Mus musculus: one gene and its partners. The protein of the gene in region 1 purifies or fractionates together with the protein of each later gene. This does not show direct contact. Links are inferred from orthologs where the notes say so. Each region holds a gene or a part of one and is shown in the gene's direction. Other genes may lie near its edges.

Region 1 (3,735 bases):
TCAGAAGAGGATTCTGGGCAAAGATAAGAATAGCAACAAGGCAGGCTGAAGGAGAGGCAAGGCTGACCCCAACTGACAGCTCTGGGCTCTGGGCTTAGAGTAAGGAGATTGATAGATAAGAGGGGCAGACCCTTAGGACAGATGTTCTAAGGTTAAAACTCTAACTCACGGGCTCTACCCCCCCCCCACCCGCCCCCCAGATGTGGAACGTTACTCAGACAAGTATCAGATGTCTGGGCCTATTGACAACGCCATCGATTGGAACCCTGGTAAGTGACTGGCCCCTCCTCTCCGAATGCCCTCCTTTCAGATTCTTTAGGTACCTCAAACTGTCACCTTCCTTTCCTGTACATCTAAATCTAGAGTCTTAGATGTGCTCTGCAACACTCTCGCGTTCTACGTGGAAACCCTATTTGTAACAACAGTGCCCACCTCTCCAGAAGCGTCAAACCTACAATTTTATTCTGAAAAATCTTCAAACCAACCCCCATTCCGTCCTTCCTTTTAAACACTCCCCTCCCCCTTAGCGCCAGCCATCACTCCCAGAAGCCTCCAGCCGGCCAGGGTCCTGCTGATTTTCACTCCCACTCTTCCCAGATTGGCGGCGACTCCCCAGTGAGCTCAAGATTCGAGTGCGGAAAGTACAGAAGGAGCGTGAGTGGATCTGCAGGAGGATGAGGGCTTGTCAGCCGGTGCCACGGGGACCACAGGAGGGCAGCAGACCGCCACATTTTGCTGCCGGAGACCACACGAGGGCAGCAGAGTGCCGTGTTTGCTGCAAGAGGGTGGAGTAGGCTCAGCTAGGATGGAGGGAGAGATGGCTCAGCTGATAAGAGATGCCAGCCACCAATCCACAGGACCCACTGTTGGAAGGAAGAACTCATTCTAACTTCCGCGTGTGTGTCACACACACACGTACACACACACACAGACACACACACACCCCAAATTTAAAACCCCGAAAGAAAGCTAGTAGATGTACTAAGGCCTCTCACTTTTTGATCCTCCAAACAGGGACCACCATTATCCTTCCCAAGAGGCCCCCTAAGAGCACAGACGATAAGGAGGAGACGATACAGAAACTAGAGGTGAGGAGGAAGTGCGATAGACAGCTGGCCTCCCGGTCCCTTGGAGCCCCAGCTCTCCCTGCATTCTGTGAGTGAGTTTCTCTTCCTATTCATCCTCACATGAGACGCTAGAGAAGAAGGAGGAGGAAGTGACTTCGGAGGAGGATGAAGAGAAAGAAGAAGAGGAGGAGAAGGAAGAGGGGGAGGAAGAGGAATACGATGAAGAGGAGCATGAGGAGGTGAGGGGGCTTTGCTCCTCCCCACCCCACCCCTCCTTTCTCCCTTACAAGTTGTAGGCTCACAACTCTTTTTTTTTTTTTCTTTTCAAGATTTCTTGTTGTTGTTTTATTTTTGGTTTTGGTTTTGAGACAGGGTCTCCATTATGCAAGCCAGGCTGGCCAGGAACTCCCCAGAAGCCCCCCTGCTTCTATTTCCTGCTGTTGGGGTTACATATGAGTCTGCCTCCAGACTTAGCATACAAGACTCTGTATGATTGCATACCAAGCGTGTTCTGGTGCCTGAGGAGGCCTGAAGAGGGTCTCCAAACCCCTGAAGCTGGGCGTTACAAGCAGGTGTGAGCTGCCCAAGTTATCTGAACTCCGAAAGAGCAACAAAGGCCTTTAACATCCAAGCCATCTTTTATTACATGTGTGCATGAGTGTGTGTGTGTGTGTGTGTGTGTGAAATGTGTGGAGGTCAGAAGACAACTTGCAAGAGTTGGCTCTCTCTTTTCCCGTGTGGGGTCTGGTTATTGACCACAGGTCCTCTGGCTTAACAACAAAGGCCTTTTGTACTGAGCCATCTCACTAACCCTGGGCTCTCAACCCTTACACGGGAGACATTCTCAGAGAGTTGCAGTGCCACCAAAAGCCTTTCTCCAGTTCATCTATCCCTGACCTATCCTCAAAACACGGAACATGGCGGGTGATATGGCTCAGAGGGCAAAGGGGCTTGCTACCAAGCCTGATGACCTGAGTGCAGTCCCCAGAACCCACAGAGTGGAAGGACTGACCCCTGCAAGTTGTCCCCTGACTTCCACATGTGCACCAGGGCACACTTGGACACACACATATAACATACATATACAGGCAAACAAATACTTTAACTTGTATAACATGGAGCAGGAGTGACGACTCTTGGTTAAGAGCGCATGCTGCTCTTCCATAGGACTCGAGCTCCACTCTCAGCATCCACATGGTGGCTCACAACAACCGGTGACTCCAGTTCCCGGGCATCTGACGCCATTGTCTGGCCTCCGAGGGTTCTAGCACGAAAGCAGTATACACATACATGCAGTCAAAGCACCTATACGCATGAAAAGGAATGAATGTAACAGCAGGTAGAGGTGTCCCAGACCTGGAAAGGTGTGTGTGAGAAGAAAGAGCCTGGAGACAAAGAGAAGAAAACTCTGACATCACCCCTGATCTTTGCTTCTTTTTACATTTCAGGAAACTGATTACATCATGTCATATTTTGACAATGGAGAGGACTTTGGAGGGGACAGCGATGACAATATGGATGAGGCCATATACTGAAAAACCTGGGCATAGACTGAAAACCTGGGCCATAGACTGAAAACCTGGGCCCATATATCATTCTTGATTTGAGATACAGGAACTAAATATCCCTATGTACTTAGGGGTTTTCCTATTTTTGTTATTTGTTTTGTTTTGTTTTGGTTGGTTGGCTTGGTTTGTTTTTTCCAGACAGGTTTCTCTGTGTAGCCCTGGCTGTCCTGGAACTCACTCTGTAGACCAGGCTGGCCTCAAACTCAGAAATCCGCCTGCCTCTGCCTCTGCCTCTGCCTCCCAAGTGCTGGGATTAAAGGCATTCGCCACCATGCCCAGCTTTGTTATTGTTTTTTGAGAGAAGATCTCATGTAGCTCAAGCTGGCCTGGAACTCGGTATGTAGCTGAGGCTGGCCTTGAATTTTGGACCCCCCCCCACCCCCCCAAGCCTTGGGATTACAGGGACGCGCCACCACAGCAGACTTACTAGCATTTACTTCTGTTGAGAAAAAATTGGTTAGAATCCAGGTGACCTGTGTGATCCCTGGGGGCTGTGATGCGCAGCCGTTGACAGTTTAGGGGAGACTTGGGGTGGGAACAGTCAAGAGGAGTAAGGCCTGTTTTGTACTTTTAAATAAAATGTTTGTATCTGTCTAACATGTCTAACAGAGTGATGTGTACTGGGAAAGGGCCGGAGGCAAGGCTGAGGGGGTGTCCAGTCAAGCCATTCTTACCCCTGCCACGCCCCCTTTCAGAGGACTGAATTTACAGCCATGCAAATGCTAAACGGGTGTTCCATCACTCAGCCATGCCCCCATCTCTTTTTATATATTTGCTTTAGAATTTTTAGGCAGAGCTTTTGCTAAGTTGCCTAAGTTGGCTTTGAACTTAACCCTGTAGCCCAAACAGGCCTGAAACTGTCTCAGCCTCCCTAGCTGTGGTCCCAGGTCTGTGCCACCAGTGTCAAATCTCTGCGTGTCCAGTGTGACACGGGTGTGTGTGTGTGTGTGTGTGACCGCCTTGACCCTTGACCTTTACTTCTCAGCTCTCCCTTGGAGGACATTCAGGAACTCATCTGCAATGCTGTCTGAAAGCAGCGCTGGGGAAAGCATAGGCTCGCCCACAGACTACCCTAGCCTTTGGCCTCCAGCAGCACAGGG
Region 2 (3,830 bases), on another chromosome or scaffold:
ACACCCTCTTCTGGCTTCCAGGCGCACTTGTATGTGTGTACATTTACATACACAAACACACAGATAAAATAAACCTTAAACACACAGTCCCCGGACCAGAACAGTCCATGTGTACATGTAACTGGCGTGGTTCACAGAGAAGGAAACCACAGTGAAGGTGTCCTAGCAAACTGTGGGGACACATGGCACATGATTGGAGGCACAGAGTGACCCTCCAGAGTTTGGTTCCCTTGTTGAGATTTGCCGGCCCCTTGTCCGACACTGCTGAGACATGGGCTGTATCTCTGGTTCTGGCCGGTGATGCTCTAACCACCAGTTTCTTCTGGCAGTTTCGACGGCGACGACTTTGATGACGTTGAGGAGGACGAAGGACTTGACGACTTGGAAAATGCTGAGGAGGTCAGTAGCCAGCCTCGGCCTCTGCCCTGCAGCCCGGACAAGGGACGGGCAGCGTTCACCAAGGGCTTTCCCTGTTCACTTTCCAGGAATGCAATTCCATGGATCTGCTCCGGGCCTTTGTCTGAGTGCCACCTCAACTAGGTCTTGGGATAATCGTGTCGTCTTATGTATGGTTTGGTGGTGGTGGATCTTAGTATAGAGCCTGGAACTTACTATTTAAGCCAGACTGGCTTGTAGCTCACGAGAAATCAGCCTTCCTCTGCCACCTGAGTGCTAGGATTAAAGGCACAGGTAGAAGTAACTTTGGTCCGTTTTATTCACTACTGTATCCTAAATACGGTTCAGCATGTAGTAAGCACACAGCAAACAATTACTTTTTTTTTTTTATGTATTTTTATGCATGTGCACGTGTGCTGTATGCAGGCGCACTTACCTGTGCAATGCATGTGGAGGTCAGAGGTCATCCTCTCTCCTTCTCCATCTTATTTTTCAAGACAGGGTCTCTCTAAACTTGAGGCTCAGTGCTTCAATTAGGCTGTCAGCCAGCAAGCCCCAGAAACCCTTCTGACTCTACCACTAGTTCTGTGGCTATGCCTGTAGCACACTGCTACAGACCCAGACTTCTACATGGAGGCTAAGACCCAAATTTAGGTTCTCCAGTTTAGGTAGCAAGCAGGTTACTCTATGAGGCAAACCCTAACCCTTAAGTCTTGGTTTTAGAATCATGTAAACGGATCATGAGCTGCGCAGTTCTCTGGCAGCCGCCATTGCTATCAGAAACTCTTTGCTTTGTGTCAGATCACCATTATTCCTGTGTGCGTTTGTGCATGCGTGCTGCAGGGGATGAAACCCATGGTCTCGTGTGTTCTCTCTCTCTCTCTCTCTCTCTCTCTCTCTCTCTCTCTCTCTCTCTCTCTCTCTCTCTCTCTCTCTCTCGCCTAAATAGAGCAGAGGACAGCAGGTTCTTGCTCAGTATGTGTTTGACTCTCATTTACCATGACTGTTCTAGTCACCTGACCCAGTGACTCATTTGCCATATGAAAGAGCAGGTGTTTGTCCTGAGCTTCCGGTTCAGGGTGTGCTCACCACTTACAGGGCCAGCTGTTTGGGCAAGGCGGCTGGCTCTAGAGTTCTGAACACCGTCATCTTTACTGCTAGCTTGGAGGTTTTGGTCAGGTTGGCTGACTCTTGAAGCCCCTGGATTGGGGACCACAATCCTTACCTTACAAGGTTGCATGCGGTTAAGGATTGCGTGGTGTCAGTGAGTGGTTGCACGGTCCATGACATCCAGAAAGGGTTGAGGGTGGTGGGAAGTCTCTGTGTCATCATCGTCCTACCTGATCCAAAACTTGCCCTGAGATTTCCCCTCTTTGTTTGCTTGCTATCCAGGAGGGCCAGGAAAATGTCGAGATTCTCCCATCTGGTGAGCGACCACAGGCCAACCAGAAGCGGATCACCACTCCTTACATGACCAAGTATGAGCGGGCCCGGGTGCTGGGCACCCGGGCTCTTCAGATCGCGTAAGTGCTGCCCTTTGGCCGTCGTGTCTGTCAGTTCACCACAGTGAGCCCAAGCTGCTGGTCCTGCCCAGCCCTGGTGTGTCAGGACTTGTGCAGTGCTTTAGGGCACCTGTGGGAAAATGTAAGAAGTGACATGAGAAGTGACAGTAAGAACCCTGGTCAGCCGGGCGTGGTGGCGCACGCCTTTAATCCCAGCACTCGGGAGGCAGGGGCAGGCGGGTTTCTGAGTTCAAGGCCAGCCTGGTCTACAAAGTGAGTTTTAGGACAGCCAGGGCTATACAGAGAAACCGTGTCTCGAAAAACAAAAAACAAACAACAACAAAACAAACAAACAAAAAAGACACAGGAGGATCATGGGTTCACGGGCCTACCTGGACTACCGAGTGAGTTCTAGGCTAGTCTGGGCAACTAGCAAGACGCTGCCCCAAGATAAAGAATGAAAAGAGGTCTGGGGTGGAGCCCAGTACATGTGATTACCTGAGTTCAGAGAATTCCTGTCAGTTGGTCAAACAAAATAAGAGTGAATTCAGGCAAGGCTGCAACAGCTCCTTCTAGCTTACGCTGATGGGAGGGAGGCTGGCCAGCCCAGCCCAGTAAGCAGGCCCCTCACTTGGGAAAGTCTGGAGCAACGGTGGCTCTGGGCGCTAGGAAACTGAAGAGCATGTTGTTTTTCTAAATTTGGATGGCCGGCCAGTGAGCTCAGCCCATCCAGAGGAGGCAGGGTGTTAGTGGAACTCTAGTGGGAGACCCAAGCCTAAGGGAAACTGTTGGTATGGGGCGCGTGGGTGCTGCAGGATGGACTAGGGAGAAGGAAAAACACAGCAACAGCAGAACATTCTCCCATGGGGCTGGGGAGGCCTGCATAGGGCTGTGAGCATCCCTACCACGGGTTCATACAGCCCTGGGTAAAGTTGACTGCAGTGTCTGCCTCGGTAAAGGGTCTTATGTACAGTCAAGGTTGACCTCAGCCATCCTCAGCTATAGACCTTTCTTCAGCCTGGCTGCACTCTTGGCTCCTTGAGTAAAGCCACCTTCAGGGGGATATGTGGTCCTAGTGGCCTAAGGATAGTCTCTGTTATGGCACTCATTGGCTACATGTGGCCATTAAATCAGCCCTGTGAGGCAGTGCACACCTTTAACCCCAGCACTCAGGAACCAGAGGTGTGTTGATCTCTGTGACTCCAAGGCCAACCTGGTCTACATAAGGAGTTCCAGGAGAGCCTTGACTACACAGTGAGGCACCATCTCAAAAACAATAACAGTAAACCCCAAACAACCACCACTACAACAAAAAACACCTACCCAAACAAAGGAAAAGAAAGCACGCACACATACATACACACACACACCAATACTAGAGATACCTCAGATGCTCAGGGGCCTGTCTGTGGCTCCCAGTTAGCACGGGGACATCACAGGTACAAGACATTTCCAGTTTGCTGAGTGTTCTGGGACACATGTTCCTTTAGCTAAGATTGCCCTGTAGCAGGAAGCCTTCATTGTGCAAATCTAGCAGTGCTCACCACTGCACCTGTCGAGGATGCAGAGGTGATGAAGACATCACCTCTAGCTCCCCAGGGAGCTTCTGATGTAAAGGCAGTGTGGGCAGTGCCCTGCAAAGGATACAGAAAAGCAGGCGCCTCGCGGAGGGGCTAGAGCTAGGAGGCAGATGCAGGGCAGTGGTTTTGCACGTGTCCCTGGTGCTGAAAGCTATGGGTGGGTACAGCCTAAAGGCAAGCTTGCAGCACAAAGAAGGCAAAAATGTTACTAAAGGGGACCAGCAAGATGGCTGAGCTGGTCGAGATGCCTCATTTACAGGAACCCGCGTGGTGGAAGCAGAGAACTGATTTCTTCATGCTATAGCATGCATGTGCTCACACATGTACAGACCTGAACACACAGAGTAGAGTC
Region 3 (3,830 bases), on another chromosome or scaffold:
ATGAGCATGTATGTTTTTATGTCAATACCATGCTGGTTTTTTTAAAGACATACTTTCTTTTGACATGTTTTTTAAAGATATACTTCTGAATCACAGTGTTGTTTGTTTGTTTGTTTGTTTGTTCGTTTTTTAAAAAAAGATTTATTATGTATACAGTGTTCTGCCTCCATGCCAGAACAGGGCACCAGATCTTATTATAGATGGTTGGGAGCCACCATGTGGTTGCTGGGAATTGAACTCAGGACCTCTGGAAGAGCAACCAGTGCTCTTAACCGCTGAGCCATGTCCCCAGCCTGTTTTTATTGTTATAACTGTAATACAACTTGAAATATGGAATGGGACGTTCTTATGGGTTTGCCCTTATATGGAACTTGGTCTTTTCCCTCACAGCTTTCAATATCCTTTCTTTGTTCTGTATGCCTTTTGTACCTGATAGGTGTCTCTTTCTTTAGACTGGGGAATTTTTCTTCTATAATTTTGTTAAAATAATTTTCTGGGCCTTTATACTTATTATTTGTAGATTTTGGGTTTCATAATGTTCCAGATTTCCTGGATGTTTAATGCCTAGATTTTAAATTAAAAATTTTTTTAGATTTAACTTTTTTGATTGAGCTACCCATTTCTTTTATCTTGTCTTCAAAACCTGAAACTCTGTCTCCATGTCTTTTTGGGTTTTTGAGACAGGGTTTCTCTGTGTAGCCCTGGCTGTCCTGGAACTCACTCTGTAGACCAGGGTGGCCTCGAACTCAGAAATCCACCTGCCTCTGCCTCCCGAGTGCTGGGATTAAAGGCGTGCACCACCACGCCCAGCTTACTTCCTGAGTTTTTGCTTTGGGTTTTATTTGAGTCTGGCTTCTCTCTAGGGATCTGTTTATTAAATTCCACTTCCACATCCCACATTGTTGTCATTACTTCAGTCACCTGGGTGTTCTCACGGTCTTCACTAAGACATTAATTCACATCCTCTTTAAGGGCCTTGAACATATTTATCCTTGTTCTGAAGTCTTTGTCTTGTGCTTCAGTGACATTGCTTTCCCTAGACCTGTTGCTGCCTTCGGGAGGAGGCACATTGTCTTGGTTGTTCATGTATATGGAGTCATGTCGCTGCCGATGCTTCTTGGTGTAGATATTGGGTCTTGCCTTTGTCTTGTGGGTGTTCTGTTCTTAGTTACCGTTGCTCTAGTCTTTGACCTAGCCAAGTGTAGTGGCTGTGGGGTCCCTGGTAGATAGCATGTCTGTGGGGGGACACAAAGGAATGGGGGTGTGCCAGGAGGGATGGTCCCCTTGGGACTTGGTCTCCTGCTGCCCCTTCCAGCCATTCCTTCTAAAAATTGGCTCTCGTTCAGTGAAGAGGTTTTACTTGGGCTAAAGATGTAGCTCAGTTGCTAGAGTGCCGGCACTCATGCTTTCCCAGCACTCATGTGGCTCACAACTATCTTTAACTTCAGTTGTAAGGAATCTGATATGCTCTTCTGGTCTTAGGAGGCATCAGACACACAAGTAGTACACATGTAGGCAAAATGCTCATACACATAAATTAAAATAAAATTAAATAAGTTAATTAATTAAAATACAAATAAATTAAAAATTATAAAGAGTATTTTCTATTTATGTGTATGTGTACCTGTGTCTTGTGTGTGTGTCTGCATGAGTGTACATGTGGCCTGCAGAGGCCAGAGGAGGCTGTTGGATTCCTTGGAACTGGAGTTGCAGGTGGTTAGGAGCTGTTATTGGTTCTGGGAACCCCACCCAGGTCCTCTGCAACAGCAACCAGTGCTCTTAAGCACTGAGCTGTCTTCTCTTCAGCTTCTCTTTTCCTACTCGTCAGACTCCTGTTCTGGATTCTTCGGAGACAAGTGGGACTATGTGTTAGCTGGCTCTCTCTTGCTCTAACAACATACCTGAGACAATCAGCTTACAAAGAAGAAAGGTTTATTTTGCCTCATGGTTTCAGACTCAGTCCAAGTACACATGGCCTGTTGCTGTGGGCCTGTGACAATGATCATGCTATGAACTGTTCATCTTGAGAAACTAGGAGCAAAGGGAAAAAAGACCAGGGTTCCAGCACCCCCGTATCTGAATCCTCCTCTAAGCCCCACCTATTAACAGGTCTTCCGTCTCCCAGTAGTGCCATAGGCTGGGGACCAAACCTTCCACACACAGCATTTGAGGGGCGTTTAAGATCCAAACAATGTGGCATGTGTTAGCTGGGAGGCTTTCCGCCTGGGAATGCCTCTTGCTAGGATTGTAGTGAAAGTTGTAAGATGTCATGCTTGTAAAATTCCTAGTGTGCCTACAGTCCCACAGGAGGCCCCTACAGAGTTCTGGTGAGTGGCAGGGTAAGGAGAACTAAGGCAAGGTAGAATCTGTGCATCGGCCGGGGATAGAGACCGTGCTGCTCAGGAAAGCAGCGTCAAGTGATTGGGCGACACCACTCCAGTGACAGAGGTGCTTGTTGTGAAGTCCACGAGTTTATCTAGGGCCCTGCCACCCCCTAAAGGTGAATTTCTTTGCACATCCAACATATTCATGGATGGATGGGAATGGAAATAGGTTAGGATTTTCCTTAATTAAAAAAAAAAAACCAAGCTGGGCGTGGTGTTGGTACATAACCCTAATTCCAGCGCTGAGGACACAGAGGCAGGCAGATTTTTGTGTGTTGGACCAGCCTGCTCTACATAGTGAGTTCCAGGACAGCCAGGACTACCAATCTCCAGAGGGGGTGGGGGAGGGAGGGAGGGACAGATAGATGGACGGATGGACAGACAATCTGCTTTTTTGTGTGCCTGCTCTGGCTTGGTCTGGGATTTGGCCTGGTGTCATCCTACTGTGGATCTTAGATGAGGCCCTGGCTGGCTCAGGACCAAGTGCTGGGCTGGCGCTGTGGACTGCATGGCCCGGGTGGGCTGTGATGGGAGACTCACTTCCTAACTCCTGACAGGCTTCCTTTCCCTTGTAGATGGTAGAAGAGAGTGAAGAACGGCTCACAGAGGAGCAGATCGAAGCCCTCCTGCACACTGTCACTAGCATTCTGCCTGCAGGTCCAGAGGATGAACAGAGCAAAAGCACTAGCAATGACGTGGCTATGGAAGAGGAGGAGCCAGCATAGATGTGCAGCTGGCCAAGTTGTTCGTGAAGCTCAAAGCTGCAGCAGCCATTTCCTGGATGTTCAGAGAACTCTTTATTTGGCCTGACCCCCTCTCTCAGTATGCCTGATCTCAGGATTTGTTGGGGGAAAAAAATCACAAAAATAAGATGAAAAGAAATCTTTGTGCTTTGGGGTCAGAGCAGGGCAGGGGCTAAGATGGGGGAGCAGGACTGCAGCTGTCTGGGGTAGAAAGGCTTGTGTGGCCTGTGCCGCACATGCACACAGTGGGAGCTCGTCAGGCGCTTTGATGACTGTTGTAGGCAATGTCAGGCACTGCTGGGTAGAATGGAGCTGGGAGAACGGACTCAGATGGTCACCAGCTCTCAGAGCTGCACACAGCTGCTCTAGGGGAAATGACCCAGAGCTTAGCTCACTGTAGAGGAATGTCCTTGGCGGAATAGGAGATAAGAGAAAACTCCAATCTGAGCCTAGCCTGGTGTACACACCTAATGTGCATGCATGTCACACACATACAAAGAAATTAGTCCAATTTCTGTGGCAAAACCCACAACTCTATAGCCTGGGTGAGTGACAAGAAAAAGAGGCTTATCTTGACTCCTGGTTCCGGTCCAAGGTCAAAGGGCATCTGGATATGGCCCTCTTGTTGCCAGAGTACCCAGGTAGCATAGGCTAGCATATTACAAAACACGAGAAGCGTTTGTTTTCAGAGTCTCTTGCAGCC

The links. The genes of interacting proteins can lie anywhere in the genome.
Region 2: the proteins of Polr3gl (region 1) and Polr2f purify together in Homo sapiens (affinity purification with mass spectrometry; 3 studies listed by BioGRID and IntAct, with this or other methods). This does not show direct contact. The link is inferred for Mus musculus from reciprocal best matches to the Homo sapiens genes POLR3GL and POLR2F.
Region 3: the proteins of Polr3gl (region 1) and Crcp purify together in Homo sapiens (co-immunoprecipitation; 3 studies listed by BioGRID and IntAct, counting the BioPlex papers as one, with this or other methods). This does not show direct contact. The link is inferred for Mus musculus from reciprocal best matches to the Homo sapiens genes POLR3GL and CRCP.

What each region holds. Positions count from the first base shown.
Region 1 is NC_000069.6:96,577,369-96,581,103, reverse strand, and holds the end of Polr3gl (DNA-directed RNA polymerase III subunit RPC7-like), read left to right. Parts: intron 1-200; coding exon 201-269; intron 270-597; coding exon 598-654; intron 655-1,014; coding exon 1,015-1,088; intron 1,089-1,192; coding exon 1,193-1,306; intron 1,307-2,515; coding exon 2,516-2,602; 3' UTR 2,603-3,232; downstream 3,233-3,735. UniProt on the Homo sapiens protein: DNA-dependent RNA polymerase catalyzes the transcription of DNA into RNA using the four ribonucleoside triphosphates as substrates. Specific peripheric component of RNA polymerase III which synthesizes small RNAs, such as 5S rRNA and tRNAs.
Region 2 is NC_000081.6:79,144,265-79,148,094, forward strand, and holds part of Polr2f (DNA-directed RNA polymerases I, II, and III subunit RPABC2), read left to right. Parts: intron 1-329; coding exon 330-399; intron 400-1,788; coding exon 1,789-1,919; intron 1,920-3,830. UniProt on the Homo sapiens protein: DNA-dependent RNA polymerase catalyzes the transcription of DNA into RNA using the four ribonucleoside triphosphates as substrates.
Region 3 is NC_000071.6:130,056,746-130,060,575, forward strand, and holds part of Crcp (DNA-directed RNA polymerase III subunit RPC9), read left to right. Parts: intron 1-2,959; coding exon 2,960-3,109; 3' UTR 3,110-3,830. UniProt on the Homo sapiens protein: DNA-dependent RNA polymerase catalyzes the transcription of DNA into RNA using the four ribonucleoside triphosphates as substrates.